4 linked regions of the Drosophila melanogaster genome follow. The protein of the gene in region 1 interacts with the protein of each later gene in a pairwise test. Each region holds a gene or a part of one and is shown in the gene's direction. Other genes may lie near its edges. The genes, in order: CG43861, CG45105, CG13032 and heca.

Region 1 (5,682 bases):
ACTTTTCTACTAACATTGTGACTTAATATGAGGTTAGACAGGAAAACTCAATAGAAACTTGGGTTCATTGGCTACAAGATTGGGTTTCGTCACCTCACAAGACGATATACCTGTTATTATCCCCACTTCCTGGCTTGCAGTTCTTTTCTAACACCGATTGCATCAAAGTCCTCCTCCGCTCAAGTGGATTATGTTTCTTTTTGCATCTTGCAACTACTACTACTACTATTACTACTACTATCGCCTGTCCTGAGGCACCTGTTGAACCCACACCGATGGCCATATTATTTACCTACATCTCAATCTCAACCATAATCACAATATTTACACCTTTCTCCGTCGCTCTTTCGATGCTGGCTTCCGCTCCTCGATGGAGGAAACAGTGTTACACAAATGCAAATCAATTGTAAATACAAATAGAAAACCTGGCCGAAAGCAGTGGAGCAAAAGGTAACATTTACTATAAATAACAAAACACCGTTAGCCTGAGGAAATCTTCGCCAAAGTTGGAGTAGTAGATACACCTGAAAACTGCATACAATCGATGTAAAAATTTTATATATAAAATTTCTCGATGCTATACAAATGAAATATAATTTGGTAAGTGTCCTCAAGTTTTGAGTAAACTGTGGCTGAAAATGCACTTCTACTTGTTTACCTAAAATGTTGCCAAATAGTTAGTTGCACAGTTTTTCTTTCGGTATTGCGACTGCAACTAGAAGCCTTGCGTTTTCTTGCCCTGGTGTGAATTTATTGCTTAATCATGCGACTTTAAAACGGCACGGCTGGCAGGTAAAGGCAGCTGGGTTTTGGATTCGGTTTTAACAAGGTGAGTGCTTGTCCAACTGGACGCGCTCCGTTTTATTTTCTGGCCATATTCTACGGCATCTTGCCGGTAGAAGAACGAAGTTCATTTGTGACTGCAGCTCAGTGTCGTTTGTTTTATTCGCCGAGTGGATGATGAATATATAATATAGATAGATAGATATATAGATAGATATATAGATGGTTAGATAGATAGGTAGATAGATAGATAGATAGATGGTAAGATAGATAGATAGATAGATAGATAGGTAGATAGATAGGTAGATAGATAGATAGATAGATGGATAGATAGATAGGTAAATAGATAGATATATATAGATAGATAGATATATAAATAGATAGATAGATAGACAGATAGATAGATATACAGATAGATATAAAGATAGATAGATAGATAGATCAACCGATAGATATATGTTAGATAGATAGATAGTTTGATTGCAACCTGCCAGCATGTTCGATTCTGGGCTGGCATGTTGAAGTTCGATTCGAACAAGCTGGTGTTTGAGTCCAACAATCTTGGGCTTAAATTCTTCTTAAAGTATAAAATAACAATTCCCTTAAAATTGAGATTTAGAGTTTTACTTTTGAGTTCTGGCTAAACTTATTTTTATTAGATAAACAACAATCCTACTTCTCGAACCCTTGCTTCTGCCTCTGCGGTCATTTTCGTGACCAGATTCGGAATTGTGAATAGTTAGGTTGTGAGCTCTTCTAGAACAGCTGATATGCAAATATGATAGAGGTTAGAATTGACCATGTTTTGATTATTTATAAATCAAATCAAGTATTAATAATATCATGTGATGATGAATTTTGTCGATTTAAAAAATGTGAAAGTTTTTGTTAGGTATGTAAATAGCAAACTAATAACAGAGGGAAATTTAGTTCCGTGTAAATCTTTCGACAGAGAGTCTTAGAACAGGATGTCTTGGAAACTAAAAGACGTGAGAATTAAGAACAATGCTAAATAATTTTAAATGAAATATATCCATTAAATATTTCTTATTAATGAGATATTTAAATAAGGATTTCTTTACACAGTTCAGTATTTTACATCGAATTTGAATATCACTCATACGCCTGTGTTAAAAATTATATTTTCACCTGGTTAGGAAGGAGAAAAACTGAACGGAGGCAAGGCAACATGTTCGAATCGAACTCGCGATGCTTTCGCGCGGGTAACTAACTGCGAACATAAAGCTCACCACTCAGTCTAAAAACGAGTTTCAACGCGTTCGGCTGCCGACCCGCTCGATTTTTGAATTCATTTTTTGGCCAGGCCCACTGAAAAAAAAAAGAGAAAAAACCAATCGAAAACAAAGCCTCATTGCGCCCCATTAGGCAAATGCTAAATTAGTCCGTTGTGTAAAGGTGTAAAGCATTATTTTGTCGAAATTCGCCTGCCGCAACAAACCCCATTTGCTTGTGTTGGTTTAAGCCCAATTGTTTGGCCAAAGTACCGCGGAGTTTTGTAAAAATATTTCTGGAAAATCTTCCCCAAAGTGCAGTGATTGTGTTTGTGTGCTCGTATCGTTTGTAGAACGGTAACAGGTAAAACAACATCAACAATCCGAGTCCGAACGAGCGGCCGATGTCGGTGAATATAACCATTAAAATGAAGTTAAAGTCGCTCCCGAGCTGCATACAAATGCTGCTGTAAATAAGTCTAAACAAACACTTGCATTTGGTGAGTTTCAATTGCCTCAATGGGCTTTTTTTTTGGGTCTGAGGTCGGGGGTGTTGGCCACATGTGGAATAAATCATAATTAGTGGGGCTTAAGTCTCGAATTGGGTTATGGGTACAACGGAAACTTAAGTGTGGGAATCAGTGCTAGTTGTCTTTATTTGTGAAACTATTTCGAACTGCGTTAATTGTGGCCCAGTGGTTGCCGTGTATACTTATCGCATTAGCGCGCTCAAGGAGCTGGAAATAATAGATACGCTAATAGATACATATGTGGTTTTAAAATTGGAGTAGATATAAGAAATCAAAATAAATATTCAAGCTACTTTTTCGCTTTACCTTGCTTAACAGGTACTTTAAATTGTGTTTTGATTTTAATCAGATACATTTCTGACCATCTGCAAGTTTATACTAATCCAAAACTATATCTATATAACTATATAACTCCACACCAACTTTTCCCTTCACTTTGTGAACACATTTTTCGGGATTACATTCTAAACAGAATTTCCGTTAGTATGAACCAAAATGTAGCTACTTAGTTTTCCGTTTTATTTGTTTCATTTTCTACTGCTCTCTGACAATTTTTGTCGCGAAAAAGTTTTTGGGATAGAAAGTTTATATTGTGAGCTAATTTGAGTTTGCATGGATAAAAGGGTAGAATTACGTTATATTTGTAAGTGTACATTTGGCCATGTGAAGCCATTTACCAATTCCAGGTAGTACACATTGTAGTCTTGTTTAAGCCGTTAACTCTGGGCGGACTTGAGTTCCTTGACTCTCGGTACTGTTCTGAATTATATGGAAGCAACCCGCAAATTTTCAGTGCTTGTGGAAATTATTTTCCGACAGTTGCTAATAAACCTGCCTACTTCATGGGCACAGCTCGCAACGGTCATTACTCATGCCAAATCTTCTGTCACTTCACACCTTCTCCGTCTAATTCTACGGTCAACTTGTCAACACGATGTGAAGTGGGGTCTGTGTGCGTGAGAGCTCTTAAGCCTTATGCAACAGCTCAAATTAGCCATGCAATTTGTACTTAACTATTTGCAGCGTCTTGTTGCAAGTTGGGGTCTTGGGGAATCGAAATGGAGGCTGGCGACTGGGGGCTGGTGACTGGAGAATGGAGAATGGAGAATGGGGTAATGGCTTCCACAGGGCACTCGCTGCAGAGGCGGGAATAATAAAATGTCCAAGGACTTGGAGCGGACAAGCGACAAGTTTATCACTTGTTAAGCCAAACGCTGCAGACATGCAGCCGGCTTCATCCTGCACCATTCCTACCCAGACGCCCAGTCCTACTCCTATTCCTACTGCATCCGAGCACCCCGCTCCGGGAATCCAACTCTAGACAACGTCGGCGTCGAGTGGCAGGCCCAGATGGGCGCGGCAGATAAGGAACTGGGCCCAGACCCAAAAGAGCAGGCCAAGAATAGGGCGTTCTGGGTCCGATCCTATTTGCATGCCACTCGCTTGAAGTGGGCCACACTCGGTCCGGATGAAAGCGGATATCAGAATACACAGAGACAAGATGTGAAGCGTTTGTAATCCAAATCCATTTACTCATCCGATCTTAAGTCCTCCAGGGAGGAGGTAGGTGTACTTTAAATCCTAATCTGAGTTTGGCCTCATACAGTCAAAATGTATATAAGATAAAACAAGAAAAACATGCATTTTAGTGCAATATATGTTGGATAGTTTGCGAATACTGGCGTTCGTCACCAAAGTTTCCTGATTTATTTTCTGTGCACGATTGGATGAGACAAAGGAAACATATAAAAAACATTTATTATTAATTGGTGCGTGCTAGTATTTATAAACCTGCTTTACAATTTCATGTAAATTATTTCTTTTATTCGTAAAAAGCTAGCCATATTGCATTAAAATACATCCGAATTTTTTTGTTGCTCTACAAACAACTACAAAATAGTTAATAATATCTTTAGACTGCAATCACTGTTTGGAATAAAGTTTTGCCATCTATAAGCCATCAGGCAAATCGTTTGCTATTATATTCATAATCCCAATCTAAAGCCAATTGGATGCCATTTTTGAGTATCCTTAGGCAGCTGGGACTTAAAGTTGAGTCTAACGATATGGTCCCGACCTTTTCGGGAGTTCCTCGAAATGGGATATCATCCACAGCCCGTCGCCCAAAACGGAGGCTTTCGCAGACGCAGCTGCTCCTCTTTCATTTGGGCCATTTAAATAATGGCTGCAAATGGCTGGGTGACAATAAAGAAGACCGGCAGCCACCACAAGTGAAGTTACCCAACAAAGCAGACTTCGGCTATAAATAGTTGAGAAAAAGTCAGGAAACGAATGTCAACTGAAAAATTACGTATACGCAGACATCGATGCTCATCGATAGTGAGACATGGGCTCGCTTTCGTTTCCGCTGTTGAGTCGAGCGTGTTGACTTTTCATTTTCCAATTTTTATTTAAATTTTTGTCTGTCGAACGGCGTCACTCTTGTTTATGACCATTTAATTGACACGCTACCTGGCAGTCGAAGCTCTTCTGGGAATATTTCCATTTATTGAGGCCATGGGACATAATTGATTATGAACTGGGGAAATTGTGCCAGTCAATAAAGAAAATCGCACTGTCAAGATCGAGGAGACAGCAGCTTTAAATGTGTGCACATGTCTGGTTAGCATTTTGGAAAATTGTGTATCAATGTCACTCAAGTGCAGCGTCCTTCGACTTCGAAATTTGATCCCTTTCTAATTAAAATATCTGTCCTTAAATATCAAACACAATGCAAATATTATGAATGTGCAAATATGTCAACGAATTATCCGTCAGATTGTCAGTAAGGAAATCTAGGAAGTCATTCTAAATGAAATGTTACACTGGAAAACAATATTCGAGGAATCGAAGATATGCATTCAAAAATAGCATGTAAAGCAATAATTCAAGTTATCATTTAATTTTATAATTTTCAGCAATATATAGATTTATTTTCTAAGTGCACCAAACGAGCCATTAGAAGGTAAGCAATCAGTTAATCTACCTCACAACTCAAGAGCTACAATTGAAATCCTCTATTAAATCAGCTCTCCACTCACAAGAGCACTTTGTAATTAACTCTTACAAATCTATTAGAATAAACTTTCCCAAGAAGCTCGACCAATTAGTATTATTAAAGTGTTGTGCTGTTCGCA
Region 2 (6,094 bases), on another chromosome or scaffold:
GTGCGGGGCTCGGCATAGGGGATCGGGCACACACTAAGCCCAAGTAGCATGAAACAAGTTCAGCGCTCGACTTTGGCTGCGGCAGCTCAGTTTTGGTCCGCTCTCGGCTTGCTGCGTTTTAGCCAGCCCAGCTCTTAACTTCTTCTTGAATGACTGCGGCGCAGGAATGCAGTGTTGTAAATAGCTAAGGCCGCAGCGACGTAAGCGGCGACTGCGATGCCAGCAGCGAATGCAAGCGGTCCGCACCACATTGTTGTTGGGCGCAGAATCAGAGCAAGTCGGAGGACGACCGGGCCAACAGATCGCGACAACGATCACAGCAGAGAGTTCGAGCTGCAACTTTGCACAGGCAAAAATATTGTGTCTTACGAGAATACACTGAATTAGGATTCAAGCTGCAGTATTTCCTAATGCTCATGTGGCCATCAAATTGATTACTCAATAAAATGAGATGTTAAGACTTATGACAATGAATTTATGAAGCCAAACAATTAATTTTTCCTGTGTAGCTGTCGAAGTTGCTGTTGCCGGAGCTAAGGCTGGAGCAATGAAAATTGCTGAGAGCGCCCCGAGGGCTTCCAACTTGGATTGGGACTGGACATGGTTTGGACCCGGGTCTCTTGCCGCTGCTCTTGACCACGATCGATAAGGCTCGCACACATACGGCCACTTCAGAGACGTGCTTTTCGTGTAGGTTATGTTTATGAATTGTCTTGCAGATTTTTGCACACGGAATTATGCGTTTATCTCAGAGGGTTAATTTCACTGTTTGCTGCTGTTGTAGCTGTTGCTGCTGCTCTATTGTTGCTGTTATTGCTGTTGTTTTCCATGGCCTGGGTAATTAAATCGCAAGAAGCTGATAATATATGGAAAAGGGCTCAAAGTGTGCAGGAAAATGGTTTGTTTTGCCCCTTTTTTTGGCCAAAAGGGTTTTCTGGCTCTGCCGCTGCAATTTCTGCTGATGCGCTTGCTGCTGTGCATTTGCCCGCTAGGAAATTATTCATGATAACAGAGATTGCATTGATTGATTGTGTGGCTGCACTTGGGATGGGTTCGACTCGGATCTCCTGATCAGGCTTTGGGTGCTCCGGGGTGCTTTGCGGGGCTTGTGGAGGGGGCCGTGGGGTCGCTGGGTTCCTGGGAGCTGTTGCATCGACGGCTACCGAGTCTGAGTTATTTGGGCTATTAAATGTCTGTGATTTGGTCATAAGTTATAGGAACATCGACAATCAATTGTTGGCGGGTCTAGGCGGTTACCACATGTGGCAGTAGCTGGCCCCTGGCAGCTGAATACTGAAACTTAATAGTCTTCGAAAGGAATTTGGTAAGAGTACTGTATGAAGAATATTCATATTTAATATGGAAAACCCGATTGGCCTTTATTAGTTTTCCCATTTCAATTGAATTCATTGAATTTCTTTTTAATTCAACTCTTAGCATTTCACTCTGACACTTTGACCTTCTTACTCTCTTATAAAGTTTAATTACTCCTAATTAAATTACTCCAGCTATTAGCAACGTAGGTCATAAATAAATCCACCCAAAACTAAATATAACTGCAGAAATAAACCCAGTTAGGAGCCCTTAAGATATGCAATGAAAACGTTTTTGGCCTCGATTCGCACAGAGAGACAAGCCCAAAGTTGAACAACCCAGAAGAGGAGCAGAGTGGGGACCATGTATATGACCAAATATTGGCACAAATGAGCGTGTCTCTAGTGCATTGACGAGTCCCCCTTTGGTATCGATCAAACAGAAGACGAGCCAATACCGGAGAGATTCCAGGACAAGCCCCCATCGAATTGGTGAGCTGCCATGGCGACAATTGCATTGCTGCGAAGGAAATGCTAATGGGAGTGTTTTGGAATCTTGCTGACAGGGCACGACGTGGCACCAAACCCATTACCACGGCACACTAAACCATATATACCCATGGATGGGGGATATTGGGCCGAACGAGTCTATAAAAGCCCCGACTTGTGTTTGCCGCCGTTTCAGTTCAACTTCATCGCGTCGTCGTCCTGTCGCTCACTCTTTTGCAGAAGCAAAGAAACAATTAAAGTGCAACCGCAAGGCGGAAGGAAGTGCATACCACAAGTGATTCCCCTGCTCCATTGCCGAGTTGCATGTTGGATTGTGCCACAAACTTTTAGCCAAGTTCCCCCCATGCCCCCATGCCCTTGTGTGTAAAATGAAAGCAGACAACTTCTTCAAGTACGGCGCCCCTTTGTACCAACCGAAAAATACCAACCGGAGCCACTCGCACTCGCAGAACCAACCGCAAGCCCACACCGGCAACATCGGCCATCTGACATCGTCGCCGCTTCTGACGAGCGACGACCTGCGTCATCTCACCCAGCAGCGGTCCACCGGATACTCGGACAGGGAGAGCATCGCGAGCGTCAGCAGTGCGGGTGGCCGGATTAAGAGGCGATCGAGGTAATACTTTCGGAAGGAGGAGAAGGGCGCAAGTGGGAGCTAAAACTTTCGAGATGTCTTGAGATGTGGTCAAAAGTTGTTTTCGTTGTAGTTATTTCCTTAGGAACTGACAGATGCAGTTTACGTCAACTTCTCCTTGCGAATAACAAAGCAGCTGCACAACATTGTAGGGTTAAGTCATCAAAGGGCACCTTAGGGAATAAAGCTTAAAAAATTATTTTTTAATTGTAAAGATTTTTTTTTTGTGGTCTTCGTTTTACAAAAGTCATTTTATTACAGCCAGGTGAAATTTAGACCATAACAGATTTTAAGCAATGCAAGAACGTAGAAATCGATATATTTTAATCAAAGAAACAAAAATAATGGAAAAAATCATGTCTAGATATATTCTCTTATGTCTTATCTCTTAAGTCTGGGCCGTATATATTGTTGAGTAATCTAGAAGTTATATTAGACTTCACTTAAGGAACTACTTTTAAAATCGTGTGCTCTTTCCTATTATATAATACTTCATTTTATAACTACAAAAATTAAAAGTTAGAAATCTTGGACTTACATTCAACCCAGCTTTTTTTAAATTCCTTAGTGTATGTTAACACTGATAGATAGTTTGAATCATCGAGTTATATGTTGCTCTATTACCACTTGCCATGGGGTATCCAGGATTTATCAACCCTTGTGGAGGTGTTTGCTCAACCATGACGCATGCACTCGGCCACAGGAGCAGGGTTAAATTTTTATTTTGGCCAACCTGTCGTCCTGGCAACAACTGCAACACCAACTCCAATTGTCACCCCGAAAGGCAGCTTCAGATAGGTTTTTTTCGTTTCGGGCACAGTTCCATTTTCCACTTCAGTTGCTGAGCAACTTTGTTCCGTAGTCAAATTCAGTCTAAAAATGTGATCCTAGATGTGCCCTCCAACTTTTTTTTAACTTTTAGAAATTTCCCGATGAAGTCTTCGAAGGGAGGCATCACCAAGAAGTGCAAGACTATGGATTACACCAACTACGCCTATAATGAGGCAGTGGGTCGCCTCAAGGTAATGCTGGCCGACAACTCGTACGTGGCACCCAAACTGGGAGGAGGAGTGTCTTCCTATTTGCGCAACCTTAACGAGGATTCCGGGGACAACTTCTCTGACAACCTATCGGTTCGTTTTCCAATCAATTCAGTGCAAGGAATTCCTGTAACACTACATATACTTCTATAGGTAATTGAGCGACCCGTCTTCTCGGACATTTCCAAGTACTTGTCGCCCAGCCAGAAGTCGCGGATCAGCTCCTATCGCCCCAAGAAGAGCTATGCCTCGGGATATCTCTCGGCTTCCAAGGAGAATCTAGCTTCCACTCCTTCGCTTTACCCGAGCGCCTCAGTTCCGTCTGCTCCTCTTCCCTCGGACAGTGTCCCGGCTCCTGTGGAGATTTTCAGCTTTATCGAAAAGCAAGAGGACTACATCGAACAGCTGGAAAAGGAATCCAAGTACTGTCGCAACGAGCTGACCAATCTGTTGGGTAAAGTCAAGGATGTGATCAATGAAAATGAGCAGTTGACTGAGAACGCTCGCTCTGAGTTGGTGGGTCTCGGTTCGGGAAATTCGAAGCATCCAATTGTCACTACTAGTCCTTCCTCGGACAGTGACGAGCACTTGATGTTCGCCAGTGGACGTAAGACCCCGTCGACCCCAAGGAAAGGTGCCTCCAAGGGACAGGTGCAAAGTCCTCGTTATGCAAGTGCACCCAATATCGTTTACGAGGCCAGAATCAGCGAGCTGGAAGCCGAACTAATGCAGGCCAGCATCGATCTGAGGCGTCTGCGTACCGAGAACGAGGAGCTAAAGCGGAAACTGAGTCATACGGATCCCCTAACCACTGTGGCCACCTTGTCCGGGGGGTCCAACTGTGAATTGCATCGCAAGCAGCTGGAGAGCCTGCAGCAGGATAAGCAAACTCTGGAGGAAAGTGTTCGACACTTGCAGAGGCTTCTGGACGAGGCAAAGGCTCAGGGCCAGGGTAGCGCCTCGTCCAAGCGATATATCAACGACTTGATGCAGATGGAGCGCTCCCAGGCCGAGCTGGAGGTACGCCACCTCCGGGATGAACTGGATCGCCAGCACGAGCGGGTCAGGGAGCTGCAGCACGAGATGGCTAGGCGGTTGGCCGAGGAGCGGGCCAGTGCCGAAAGGCGCTACAACAGCCAGGTGGATCAACTGGGCGGAGATCTGAGTTGCCAATGGGAGCAGGTGTCCAAGCTCCAGTTGGATCTGGAGCGTCAAAAACGCTACGAAACAGATCTCAAGCGGGATGTGGCCAGTCGCAATTCGCAGATCGAAGAGCTGAAAATGGAACTAAGAGCCAATAGGACCACCTTCCTGGCGGACATGGCGCAGGTGAATGCAGAGAAGCAATCTCTGGAGCAGGACATCACCTCGCTGCGCCTTCAGTTGGATCGGGCTGCCAGGGAGGCCAAAACGGAGGCAGCTCGTCTTAATGCAGAAATAAATTCGCTGAGGCAGCGCCTTGATCGCGGGGATGCTGATCTCCTGCACTCCAAACGAGAAGTACTGCGGCTCAATGATGAGATAGCCAATCTTGAAAAGGAGGTAAATCATAGTATTCATTGTATTAATTTTTAAGCCTGTTGTTTGCTTATAAAATTAATGTTTATTGCACATACAGCTTGCTTATGGGGAGTTAAAGAACGAGATACGACCTACCAAAAAGGATCTGGACAAAAGGATCTCTGAATTGCAGGATAAGCATGGTAAGTGGGCCGAGTTAACACTTTAGCTGGATTACTTCTATCTTTCTACACCCTCTTCACCTATCACTATCCTCCCTATGAACTCTGGTTAAGCTATTGATGCTCCTATTGTGTTCTGCGTGTGTGTCAAATGATATAAAGTCAACTATATTCCAAAGATTCGAACTCGAAACCAACTACAGAGAAATATTCAATAGTTTATCCATGAGTTTGTTCTGTAGCGCGTTGCATTAAGTCCCATATCAAAGTACATAAAACATATATAACTAAACCGTTAAATGTCTGTTTGTAGCGGGAACGGTAAATGAGCTTGAGGAAATGATAACATCTCAGAAGCAACTCATGGATAAACTGACCAACGAGTGTAAAACCTTAACGGGCAAATTAGAGGACACGACCTACAAGCACAAGTAATTATGATCAAATAATACCTAAGCGTATCTCACCTAGCAATTCTGCAAACTCAAATCGATTTGGCTTTTAGAAATCTATTTTATACTATAGTGTAAGTCTAAATAATACCAGTTCGATTAAGTTTATATAGTCACAGTTAATTATTACAAAACGACACCCAAAAAGGTATGTGGGCAATTGATTGAAAGCCTTTTGACATACGGAAACCACCGCACATCGCAATATGAAATTCGAGGCCAAACCAAAGTTTTCCCACCAGTACATTCCGAACACCAATTTTCTTTTCCGAGATTCATTCGTTCCACACCAAAGCAAAAGCAATAAAATAAACATCTCGACCTAGCTTGAGACTGGATTAACACGCTGTACTTGTACTTCTTCAAACCTTTCTTTTGCTGCCTACCCGCCACGCAAATTTCATGGTAATTAGAACCAATTTGCGATCTTGTGATGCCAACAACAACAAGCGAGCCCTTGACC
Region 3 (5,511 bases), on another chromosome or scaffold:
TACGCCGACACAACTACTTTAAATTGTAATAAGTAATATTATCTGGAAGCATTCATTAAAATAGGTACAATTTTACAACATTTAAACACTTTTGTTGAAACTGAAAATAGATCGTAATTAAACAAAAATGCGAATAACAAATAAATCTAGGCAAATGTGTAAAGCTTGTAAACTTATATTAACTCAGTTACTAACTACATATAGTCTTGAAAAACAAAGAGCCTAATTATTTGTTCATAGGGCGGGTAAAACTAAATGAGAATATATTTGACTGCAGGGTATCAAATTGCGAAACGAAACCAGACAAAATTAAAGTACAAACGGCTACCATTGAGTTATAAACACTTAGAAGAGCTACCAAGTAGTTAGACTACCAAAATAGACCATTAAGGGTGTTAGTTACCTGGGCAACGGTCTGTTCGGCAATGGGAATGTCATCGTTGCGCAGATCAACGCGTTTCACCACCGACGAGGGATCCGCATCCAGAATAATGCTATTTGGAAAACGGGTAAAGGTTTAAATAGAATATTTGTATTTAATAATATGTAATGCATAATATACAGTGATGAATGGCAAAGTATATCTTTTTGTACCTCAGGTGATTTCTAAAGCTCAGCCTATAAACTTAAAAACTTATACGAGCTGCATGCCTAGGATGCCAGTGCTCGTATGTATTAGTTTAATCTTTAAGTTTAATATATTTTAATATTTAGTTTGATTTATATAATTAAACTTTTGTACCTATACCCTAACATCGCAGTTATCATATAACTTTTCATTGGACTTGACTAGGTTTTGTTAAAAAAAAGGAAGCTTTAAATGCGGTTAACTACTTAGAGGCTTCACTTGAGCTGGCCTAACTCATAGACTAGTAAATAACAATGTTATTTATGGGAACTTGTGTAGTAATAATTTGATGTTTTCTAAACGAACTGCTGCTAATGAAAGCTGCTTTAACTTGGTCCCTTGTTCTTTCCATCCATCACTGTATACGCTAATACACACCCTCCGTCGCAGATCTCGTCAAATGCCAGCATGATGATCTCCAGGTTTTCCAGCACCAGGCGCTTCTCAACGTTCTTCTTGAGGATCAGGCTAATGGAATCGTAGAGGCAGTTGAGCACGGACAGCAGGATGAGCTCGTTCTCGTAGGCGTTGCCCATCACGTAGAAGAAGAGGTCCACGTTGCTCTTGTACACGCAGGTGAGTCCGTCCAGCATAATGATCTCCGTGTTGGAGCGGTGCGTCTTATTGAACAGATTCTTTTCGAAGGCCTTCTGCTCCTTCAACGTGGACAGGATGTTCTTGTCGTAGTACTTGGCCAGGATGCGGTTGCCATCGTTGTCCATGATGCACATGCCCTTGATGATATCCTGCAGCACATGTTGGGTTTGATTTTAAGCCAGTTACTTGTGTATTTTGCAATTTACCATCATAAATCCGTCCATCTTCACTTGTTTTCGTGTCTTACACGTCACTTTAGTATGACCATATTGCGACCGCTAAATTATACCAACTAAACAGTACTGCCAACTCGAGTCACAAAATAAATAGCTAGATACAGTTAAAACTATCTAGAAAAACTGTTAAAATTTTTGAATTTTAGCTAAGCCGTTATCGTTGTTTTATTATTATATTTTAAATTATAATTTGAAACACATGGGGGGCTGGCTTGCTTGACGTTGGCCGTACTTTGCTGGGGTATTTAAAATAAAATAATGTAAATGTAAAAAAAGAATAACGGTTTAAATGTAAATTATCCTGTCTTAAATAAAACAACAGTTTGGAAAGATCAAGAAAAGAATTGTCAATGTCAATTTTATTATTGCAGAAACTCTGTTTATTTTTAACTTACCTATTATTGAAGAAATCCTGATTATGACAAGAGTTCCAAATTTAAAAATTGCCTTGCCTTTGATTTGTCTGTTTCAAATGAGGTTTAAATTTGAATAACCTAGAAACAACTGATGACAACCAAAATTTGTGAATATTTTAGTAACAAGAACAGGCACACGTACAAATTATTTTCGCCCAGCCAACGAAATTGTTAGATTCAATTGTGTATATTTTTATGTGAACAACTAGAGGGCATTGCGATGGAGACTTTGCCGGAAGAGTATGTAGCCCATCGGGATCAGGAGCTGTTGGGGTGCAAAGTGGGCCGTTCCTCTCGACGTCGGCATGACCATGATGCCATGGCCGCTGCCCATGTGGTGCTGACCACCGCTGTGGTAAAACCAAAGCCAACAAAGCCGGAGTCCAAAAAGCTGCGCAAAAAGCTATCCGAATGCGAGCAGGAGAAGCAGTCACTGGCCCAGGCCATTCATGAGAAGAATCAGGAGATATCCGACCTGAAGAAATCGGTTGATTCGCTCAACGAGGTGCTCAACTCCGTGCCCATTGATGAGCTGCGCTGCAACTCCTCCATTGCCAGCACCAAAATCCTGGAACTGAGCAAGAAGAACCGCCAGATGCGTTCCGAATTGGAGCAGGCAAAGAGTCGGCTGGGTAAAAAGGATGCTCAGATCGAGAAGCTGGAGAAGGAGCTGCGTGCGCACGAGGAGAAGCTGCAGCATAATCAGGATCTGCCAAAAAAGGGCTGCTCCCCCGATGAGCTCCAAGCCAAGATCAACAGTATGCAGCAGAAGCTCTTCGAAACGCGAAACAGGAACACCGAGCTACAAAGCCAACTGAAACTGGCCCAAAAGTGCCTGCAGCACGAGATCGGTGAGAGCTGCAACATCAACATCCTGGCCAACAATCTTAATCAGGCCAATTGGCGCGGTCGTGCTCAGCAGATCATCGCGCTCAACCAGAAAGTGCACGAGCTCAAGGCTCGCTTGGATTTCTACGAGGACCGAGCCGTAGATCGAGCCGAATATGCTGCCCCAGTGCCGTTGGGTTCGGATCTGGAGTTGGTAACCGGCAGCTGTCGATCACATCATGCCAGCTCTGAGAGATTAGGTGGAGGCGATGGCGGCGGAGCCACAACGGCCAGCTTCGATCGCTTTACACCGGGTGTGCGTAAAAGTGAGATTCTTCATCGAGCCAAGGTGGAGGCTCTGGAAAAGGAGATTCTTAGCCTGCAAAACCAACTGGAGGATCAACGCAGCAAGACACTCGCCCTAAAGGTGAGGAACAAGAATCTGAACGAGGAGATGAACAAGTACAAGATTCTATACAATGAGCTGGAGGAGCAGACCGACTTCAATGGCACCAATATCAATACCATGAATGACAAACTGAACCAGCAGAGGATTCAGTACGAGAACCGTTTGGACGACATGCGCGGCGAGCTGGTCCGGGTGACCGAGGAGCGAGATCTTTCGCGCCGGCAAATGGAAGAGCTGAGCGGTATGCATCTGGAGCTGCAGACGGTGGTCAAGCAGAAGGATGTGGCCATGGCCAGTCTGCAGGATATGATCAAGAAGCTGGAAATGGACCTGCGCGCCCTATCCGGCGGATTCCTCTTCTCCTGCCGCGAGTTTCGAAAGGTAAAACTCTGTACACTAAAACATAAGCTATTAATTTGCTTAATTATATTCCGCAGGAGGAATTTGTGGGCATCCTGGATGCTCTAGAGGTGGAGAAAAATCAGCTTATGTTGCTCACCAAAACTCTAGGAGATCGTCTGGAGACGGAGAGAGCCAAGAACGAAGCAGCTCAGGAGCAGATTGGCAAGTTAAAGGCCCGTATCAGCCGACTGGAGGTCAAGATCAGGGACCTGGAGAAGGAACTCGATGTGCAGTCCGATAAGAAGAAACGCACCCAGCGAATGGCCGACTACGCCAGTTCGCTGAGTCGCACTTCTCTTAACGGATCGATTGGTTCCTTCTGCTTCGAAAATCAGTCCCAGTACCAGTCCACAAATACGCTGAATTCGGCAGGACAGCCTGAGCCCAGAATAGAGGATCTAAAGAATAAGTAAGTTCGGACACGGCAATCCCATCGCTTAATCAACTATAACTACTTATATTTTCAGTCTTGAACTGGCCAAGGAAAAAATCACAATGCTGACAGAGAAGCTGGAGTATATCACCGAGGAGAAGAACGCAGATGCCAAATTTTTCGAGGACACCATCAACAGTACGAAGACCATTATCCTTGAAACTGTACTTGGAGCTCGCGAAAAGGGATTGAGCGATCGTAGCAAAAATGCAGATAAAAGCACGAGCGAGACTTCCATTCAATAATGAAGATGAACAAAACCACGATTTTTATTTTGATTAGTTTTTATGTTCTTTGCAATGCTAAAAAAACTGGACGAGAAGTCATGCCATATACATATTTATATGTAACTGGAATGTTATTAAACTTGCATGGCATTGCAATGCACATCATTGATTCTGAAGTACCGAAAACAATGAGTTTTAAATTTTCATAAATTTTTATTTGATTTGTAACACGTTCACAAAACGAAGCCTTTGGCGCTGCTTCTATTTCAGGATAAGATTAGATTAATTCAAGTATTTGTTAGGTGATTTCTTTCCACTCGAAGCATTTCCAATTGCATTATGCCTATATAATTGTTATTAATTGCTGTCTATAGCTATGCATGTGTGTGTGTGTGTGTGTGTGTGAGTGTCTTGTAAGTTAAGTTAATAATACATTATATATAGCTTGACTTGCCATAGAAAAACGATCCTGCAATCACATATTAAATTAGTTTTAGTTGCCGTTTGTAAATTGCTTCATTATTTGCGTTAGAAATTCGTTCTCCATTGCTCGCGTATGGTATGAAAATGTATAAGTTACAGTATAAGTATATTTTTTTTTATTGATTCTTTAATGCATTATTATTGATAAGCCTAGTAAATTGGTTTTATCTAAAAAACACGTTTTAGCAAATTAAAGGCACTTTCAAGGATTTCTTTTGTGAAACGAAACGATATCTCCACCTTATTCTCTTTCTTCAATTTAACACTAGAAACAAACAATATATAATTATTATTCTCTTAACAAAAATATTTATATATTAAAAACATGAATTTCCCCCGCAAAAACAAGAACAATATCCTTCAAGTCCTCCTCGTTTACACAGATAAATTGACAAAATTGTAGGGATAAGGACGCGATCAGAATCCGAGTGGATTGCTGCTAATGCGAAAAGCTTTCAGAAAGCCGAAGAAAACTCGGGGGAAATTTGTGTTAGCGCTATTGCCCCGTGTAAGTATTACTTTGAGAACTTCTAATTAAATTAGAAAACCTTTGCCTTGGGATTTTGCTATCCACAACATGTTATGCTGAAGCACTTTAGCTAATCGAATTGTTTATAGATATCCGTACTTGTATATGATTGGTAAGCTATAGTGTACGATTAGTTGGTTAACGTTTTGTATATTCTTCAATAAATATCTGTATAAATTTGATTTATTAAGGGCTGTAGATAAATGCAAACTTGGCTGGGTTAGCTTGGTCGCTCAATTTCTTATTGGAATCGGTGCAGATATATGTTCCGCTGACATATATTAGCCGATTCATAGCTGAAACACATTCGACTCTCTGGCTGA
Region 4 (5,727 bases), on another chromosome or scaffold:
CCGCTTTCACACCCTGGTTAGAAGCCAAACAGGAAGCGAAGAAACACGCAGAAAGTTGCAAAGAACACACACACAGGCATCACTTTAATATTTGAAGTTATGGGACATAAATAAGCAGAAGTTTACCCATTAAAATGGCTTAGAGATCGGAACTTAGAGGCAGTAGCCTAATATAGAAATAATTATGAAATTTCATTTCATTTCATACATAGGTTCATACCTAATTCCTAATTTAAAAACATAACTTAACGACCTGGCAACTCTTTTTTCGGCCCCCAGGGTTGCAGTCCTGCATTGCCATTAATTATGCAAATTAAACTTGATGCGTGTCGCCGAAGAATTATGAGCTCAGCTTTTGCCCGCGGCTTCAGACTCTCTCCTCTTCTCTTCTCCCTTTTCGCTTTGAACACATGCCATCTTCTTCTTCTTATTATTATTATTTTTTCGTTATGCATTGGTCATTAAAATTAGGTCAGAGTCGAAGAGAACACAAAGCGAAATCCTTGAGAATTATAAAGCGGCGATGACAACAACAACAAACTAGTTCGCCCCTCCTTTGTTCTTTTACCCTCTCCACCGACGATCCTTTAGCTAGAACAACAAACAACCTATACATACATAATTACATACATGCATACCTAAATATACTCGTACGTACGATCCTATTACGCAATGGCTGCCGATCTGCCTACCTGACTGACTTAATTATTATATCAGAACCCTCTGGTTCTCTCCCTCCTGCTCGCTCTTCTTCTACCCGGCAGGTCAAAATCGAGAGAAAAAAATGGAAACTGCGCAGTTTGACTCGAAAATAAGTGGAATTGGACCTTGACTTTGCACCGCAGTTACCAAAAGAATAGAACCCCGGATCCTGAGATCCTGAGTCCTATAAGAAAACCCCATCTGGTTGCGAGATCCCTTCCCTTTACCACTTTTCGTTCTACACGTGCCTGTTTTTTGCCATTTCTACCGCTTCTTCTTATTCGTTTTCGCATACTTTTTTTTTTTGCAACACAGCGGGAATTTTTATATGTGTGTATGTACATATATACACAAAGGCGAGGATACAATAAAAAGGCTCTACGTTTGAAAGCTTATTTGGGTTTTGGTGGCAACTTTAATACCCTACAGTCAAAACACAAATAAGTAGTCATAATACAAAAGTTACCTGCGATATTCGTAATCTTAGGACTAATATCAACAATTTAACTATTACAATTATTCATACATATGTACATACTTGTTTCAATTGAAAGCAGTAATAGGTCTGCGTATTCAAGTTTTAATTGGTTGTTTTAATTCAAGGTAGGGTATCTTCAACTCTTTTTCGTTCAATGTTTTAATTCTCTTCCTTTTTGTCTCTGCCACTTTTATTGCCAGCACTCGCATGCATTCATTGTATTTGTATTTTTGTGCAAATGTGCTTGCGAATATATAGGGGATTATATAGATACGTTTGTATGTAAATATATAACAGCAATCGAAGCGTGCGACAGAGAACGGCAGTTCCGACAGAGGGAGATGGAGACATCGAACGGCATTTCCACTTCCACTGGAATTAAAAGATTAGCCACGGAAAGCAAAAGTGCGCTGCAAGTTCGAGTTCCAGCGACTCGGCAACCCTGTTTTCATGTTGTTTACTTTGCCGGTTTCTGGCACAAACACATATGCACGCTCCATGCATGTGGAACAGAGCCAACGCGCTCGACGTTCGCATGGCAACTGCAGTCGAACATGTTGGAGGGGAAACGACCGGCTTCGAACTTGATTCGAACCAGCTTCGAGCCGCAACGAAAGTGAATTTTGGCGAATCATCGAGAGCTCCTAATTGTAAATGAAATGGATGTAAAATCTAAAAATTCTAATAAATAATTAAATTTAGATTATTTAATAATAATCGAATTCATTTAATTTTGGAACCAAAACATAGGGAGAAATATATATTCCTTTTTGGCTATAAAGTTAGAAACATGTTATTATTATTCTTATTAGTTTAAAGAAAATACGGCTTGATAGAAACATTTTCTATGGAAATGAAGCTTATTAACAAAAGTCTAAACTCCTACATATATTTTTAAGACATTTAATCTAATCAAGTATGTAACTGCTATCAAAAGTTCCGTTGTAAAGTGGGAAAATGTACCAAATTCTGGCCTACAGTGGAAAATTCTAGTGAATTAGACACTTTTTTTGTAGCCCCTTCCGCAATTTTCCCCCACCATTTCTCATTTTAGCGCCAAAAATCTGTTCAGTTTTCCACCGAATGAAAAGCGAGCGGTTGGCGGCGGTGGTGGAAAGTGAAAACCAGCCAACCACCACCCACCAACCCCGAAAAACGGAATGAAGAAGTGCGGAAAATCGGAGTGGAGGAAAACTCCAACTTCGCTGCCAATGCCAAGCAGCGACGCCGGCAGCGATGTTCGACGCGCGATGTTCGAACGCGGCGAGCAAGCACAGACCAAAAACAGTTTGAATTTCGCTTTCGATCTGGTTGGTTGTGTTTTTTGGCTTCTCTCTGCGTGCGCCGCTCGTGGTGGGAAAAAACGGAAAACAGGAGAACTAGCAAAACCGAATAAATCGAAGAGGAACACTCCAGTTTACAATTGTCCTGCGACTAAAAACCAATCGGAAATTTACACTATCCTCTAATCCTTTTTGTTTGCCGGCAAAAAAATAAGAGGCGCAAAGAAATAAACGCAGAAAGCGAAGCAAAATGTGAAAAATTGCCGAACATGGCGCCGCGTGTGTGAATGAGAGCGAACGATCGTGTGAGAGGGAGATAGGGACGAAGCGAAGATAAACAATAAAAAAAAAACAATTTTTGATACTTAAAGTTCTACAACAACAATAAACTCAGCTCAGGTACAACAACAAAACAGAAAATTACGCAAAACACAACAGACTGCATTGACGGGAATTTTTCGAAGTATTTTTGATACACACAGCAAGGAGGTGTACAATTTTTAAAGCAATAAGTGAAAGCAATTACCCATCAAGTTAAAAATAATACCAATCTCGGTAGAAACCCACTCGGAAAATCCAACTGAAAACAATTGAAAAAGGCAACCGAAAAGTTAAAACCTAAACAGACTAAATCGCTAAAATAACAAGCATTTACTATACACAAAAAAATTAAATTCCGTATAAAATCAGACTTTTGTCTGCAAAATTTCTAAAAATTTACAAAAACCCACTAAAATTCACGAAAACTCACTGGATCTGCCAAAACCATCAGTTGAAATATATTCTGGAATCGGTTCAAAAATAAATAAATATATGCCAGCAGCATTTATATAGACCGCAAATCGCACCATAAAATCGCGAAAAAATCAACAAGCAATATTTTGAAATTCATAATCGTTGGCAAAATGCTGATTCGAAATAGAGATTGAGGATTCTCGAGGACAGCCAACCCAGCCAACCAACCAAGTTTTTCGCCGCAACGAGTGCATATTAAGAGGAAAAAACACAAATTTATGGCTCCGCGTCGCAACAGCAACATCAGCAGCAGCGGCAACAGCACCCAGCAGCAGCACCAGCAACAGTTGCAGCAGCAGCACCAGACGCAGCAGCATCAACTGCTGCAGTTCTACGCGGAGAACGTGAATTCTTCAGGCGTCCTAATGGCGCCCATGCAGGGAACCGGTGGCGTTGGCGGCGTTGGCGGCGGGGGCATGGTCCACTGCTGCCTGCCCAGCGGAGACTGTCGCAAACTGGACACCCTGATACACCTGAACGAGCTCTCCCTGGCGGACTGCATCCGTGTGCTGTGCAACAACGAGAACTGCAGCGCAGGCCAGTACATGCATCGCGAGTGCTTCGAGTGGTGGGAGGCGAGCGTGCTGCAGGCACTGAAGGCCAACGGTCGTGCTCGATCCTGGTCGGAGCGGCAGCGTCTGCAGCACCTGTGGACCAAGAAGGGCTACGAGCTGGTCCAGAAGGCCTGCAGCTGCAAGTGCGGCAGGGGACAATTGCGCAAGGACCTCGACTGGGTGCCGCCGAGCAGCCAGGGCGTCATATACCTCAACGGGTCTGGCAACCGGCCCACTCTGGCCAATGGCAGCCTCAGCGAGGACGACGACAAGAAGAAGGCCAAGAAGAAGAGGAACCGCAACAACAACAACAACAACGGCGGCGGCGGTGGTGGTGGTGCTGGTGTCAATGGCAACACCAAAACCCCCTTGAGCAACAACAACGGCAACAGCTACGCCGGACTCACGCCCAATCCCAATGTGGGCGTCATAGGGTCGGGTTTGCCCCACAACAACGGCAACACCGCCAGCAATGGCAGCAGTGGCAACAACGGCTCCTCCGGCGTTCTGCAGACCAGTGCGCTGGCCACTTTCAGCAACATCCTCAATACGAACAATGTCCTCGGCCTGGACCTGCGCGCCAGGGCTGGCAGCCTATCCTCCAGTGGAGCTGGCAGTGGATCCACCTCGCCCTCGGACTCCCAGTCCAGTGGCGAGATATCCGTGTCGCCGGTGCAGCAATTGCTGCCACAGCAGCAGCAGCAACAGCAGCAGTCGCTGCTGATCCAGCCTCTGGGTCCAGCTTTCGGCAGCAACCTTTTGCAAAATGGATTGGGCTTGTCCAAGAATCTGCTGATTGCTCCCCAGCAGCAGCAGCAGCAGCAGCTGCAACAACAACAGCAGCAGCAGAATAACCTGCCTGCTTTGGCCAATATCAGCAACTTCAAGCCATTGGCCAGCTACGAGCAGCAGCAACTTGTGCAGCAGCAGAAGAACAAGGAGGTCGAACTCTATTCCGATCGAGTGCGGTAAGTACAAGATATCATCATGATAACCATATAGATTATAAGGAGCTATAGTCTTATTGTCTAGAATTTCATCTTAAATACTTGGTTAACTTGTTTAACAAAGCGAAATTTGTGTGGCGAAATTCCCCAGCATGTGGTTGGGGTACATAAGCGTTTCAATATTTATTCACAAAACTTTTATCAATTACACTGAACGACAAGGGGGGCCTTAATATTTCGAATTTATTTACTGCAGTTGTTATAAGTTTTGTTTAGCTTTTCCTTTGATAAAACTTCCAGTGGCTTCAGGTGTTATCAACAAACATGCCAAATAGATACCAGATTGATACTCTCGTTCCTTTATCGTGTTGCACAGTGTTATCAACAATTGAGGCGTTTGTTTGCCCGTTTTTCGTTCGTTTGCCGGTTCCATAGATTATATAACCTTGACGACTGAACAGCTGCGAAATACAGACAATATTTGCAGAAATATTAAATAAAATGCGCTGGTTTATTCGAGAAATTTGCGAATATTTTCCCCTTAAGGAAGTCGACGATTTGCATCAACTCAGAGGGAATGAATAAAATATTATAATCTTTTGTTTTGTTGCTTTCGGTGGGTCAAGGCTTTCTTTCTTTTATTCTGCTGTAGTTCTTCACTCTTCATTGGCATTCTTTTTACTCATAAATCATAGGCAATGAAAAATTATTGAAATTTATATGCTGCCATATAGCAGCGGACATTTATCGTATGGTATGTTTCCCAGATGTGTTCTTGTTCTTATTTATTTTGTGCCTACTTTTAATATTTCCGTTTCCCAGAGCAGCGAATACTATTATTTATTTCATTGCGATCAAAAAAAAAAAAAAATGCGAATAGGAGAACAACACGAAGAGGAATTAGATCGCTTTTTGTGTTTTTTTTTTTTTTAATGTTGTTGTTTTGAACGCGATCTTCAGGTTTTAAG

What was found.
Region 2: the proteins of CG43861 (region 1) and CG45105 interact in a two-hybrid assay, tested with the Drosophila melanogaster proteins (one large-scale study listed by BioGRID).
Region 3: the proteins of CG43861 (region 1) and CG13032 interact in a two-hybrid assay, tested with the Drosophila melanogaster proteins (one large-scale study listed by BioGRID).
Region 4: the proteins of CG43861 (region 1) and heca interact in a two-hybrid assay, tested with the Drosophila melanogaster proteins (one large-scale study listed by BioGRID).

The regions. Positions count from the first base shown.
Region 1 is NT_033779.5:20,013,653-20,019,334, reverse strand, and holds the start of CG43861 (uncharacterized protein), read left to right. Parts: upstream 1-2,052; 5' UTR 2,053-2,515; intron 2,516-5,682.
Region 2 is NT_033777.3:15,913,902-15,919,995, reverse strand, and holds the start of CG45105 (uncharacterized protein), read left to right. Parts: upstream 1-1,988; 5' UTR 1,989-2,191; coding exon 2,192-2,439; intron 2,440-3,273; exon of another isoform or gene 3,274-3,379; coding exon 3,380-3,590; intron 3,591-3,650; coding exon 3,651-5,039; intron 5,040-5,115; coding exon 5,116-5,200; intron 5,201-5,492; coding exon 5,493-5,610; intron 5,611-6,044; coding exon of another isoform or gene 6,045-6,094.
Region 3 is NT_037436.4:16,672,051-16,677,561, forward strand, and holds CG13032 (uncharacterized protein), read left to right. Parts: upstream 1-1,913; 5' UTR 1,914-2,097; coding exon 2,098-3,495; intron 3,496-3,551; coding exon 3,552-3,925; intron 3,926-3,983; coding exon 3,984-4,194; 3' UTR 4,195-4,214; downstream 4,215-5,511. Other genes in the region: zetaCOP (coat protein (coatomer) zeta), read right to left, coding at 404-494, 1,007-1,374, 1,432-1,449.
Region 4 is NT_033777.3:30,275,468-30,281,194, forward strand, and holds the start of heca (headcase), read left to right. Parts: upstream 1-2,464; 5' UTR 2,465-3,476; coding exon 3,477-4,780; intron 4,781-5,727. UniProt on the Drosophila melanogaster protein: Required for imaginal cell differentiation, may be involved in hormonal responsiveness during metamorphosis. Involved in an inhibitory signaling mechanism to determine the number of cells that will form unicellular sprouts in the trachea.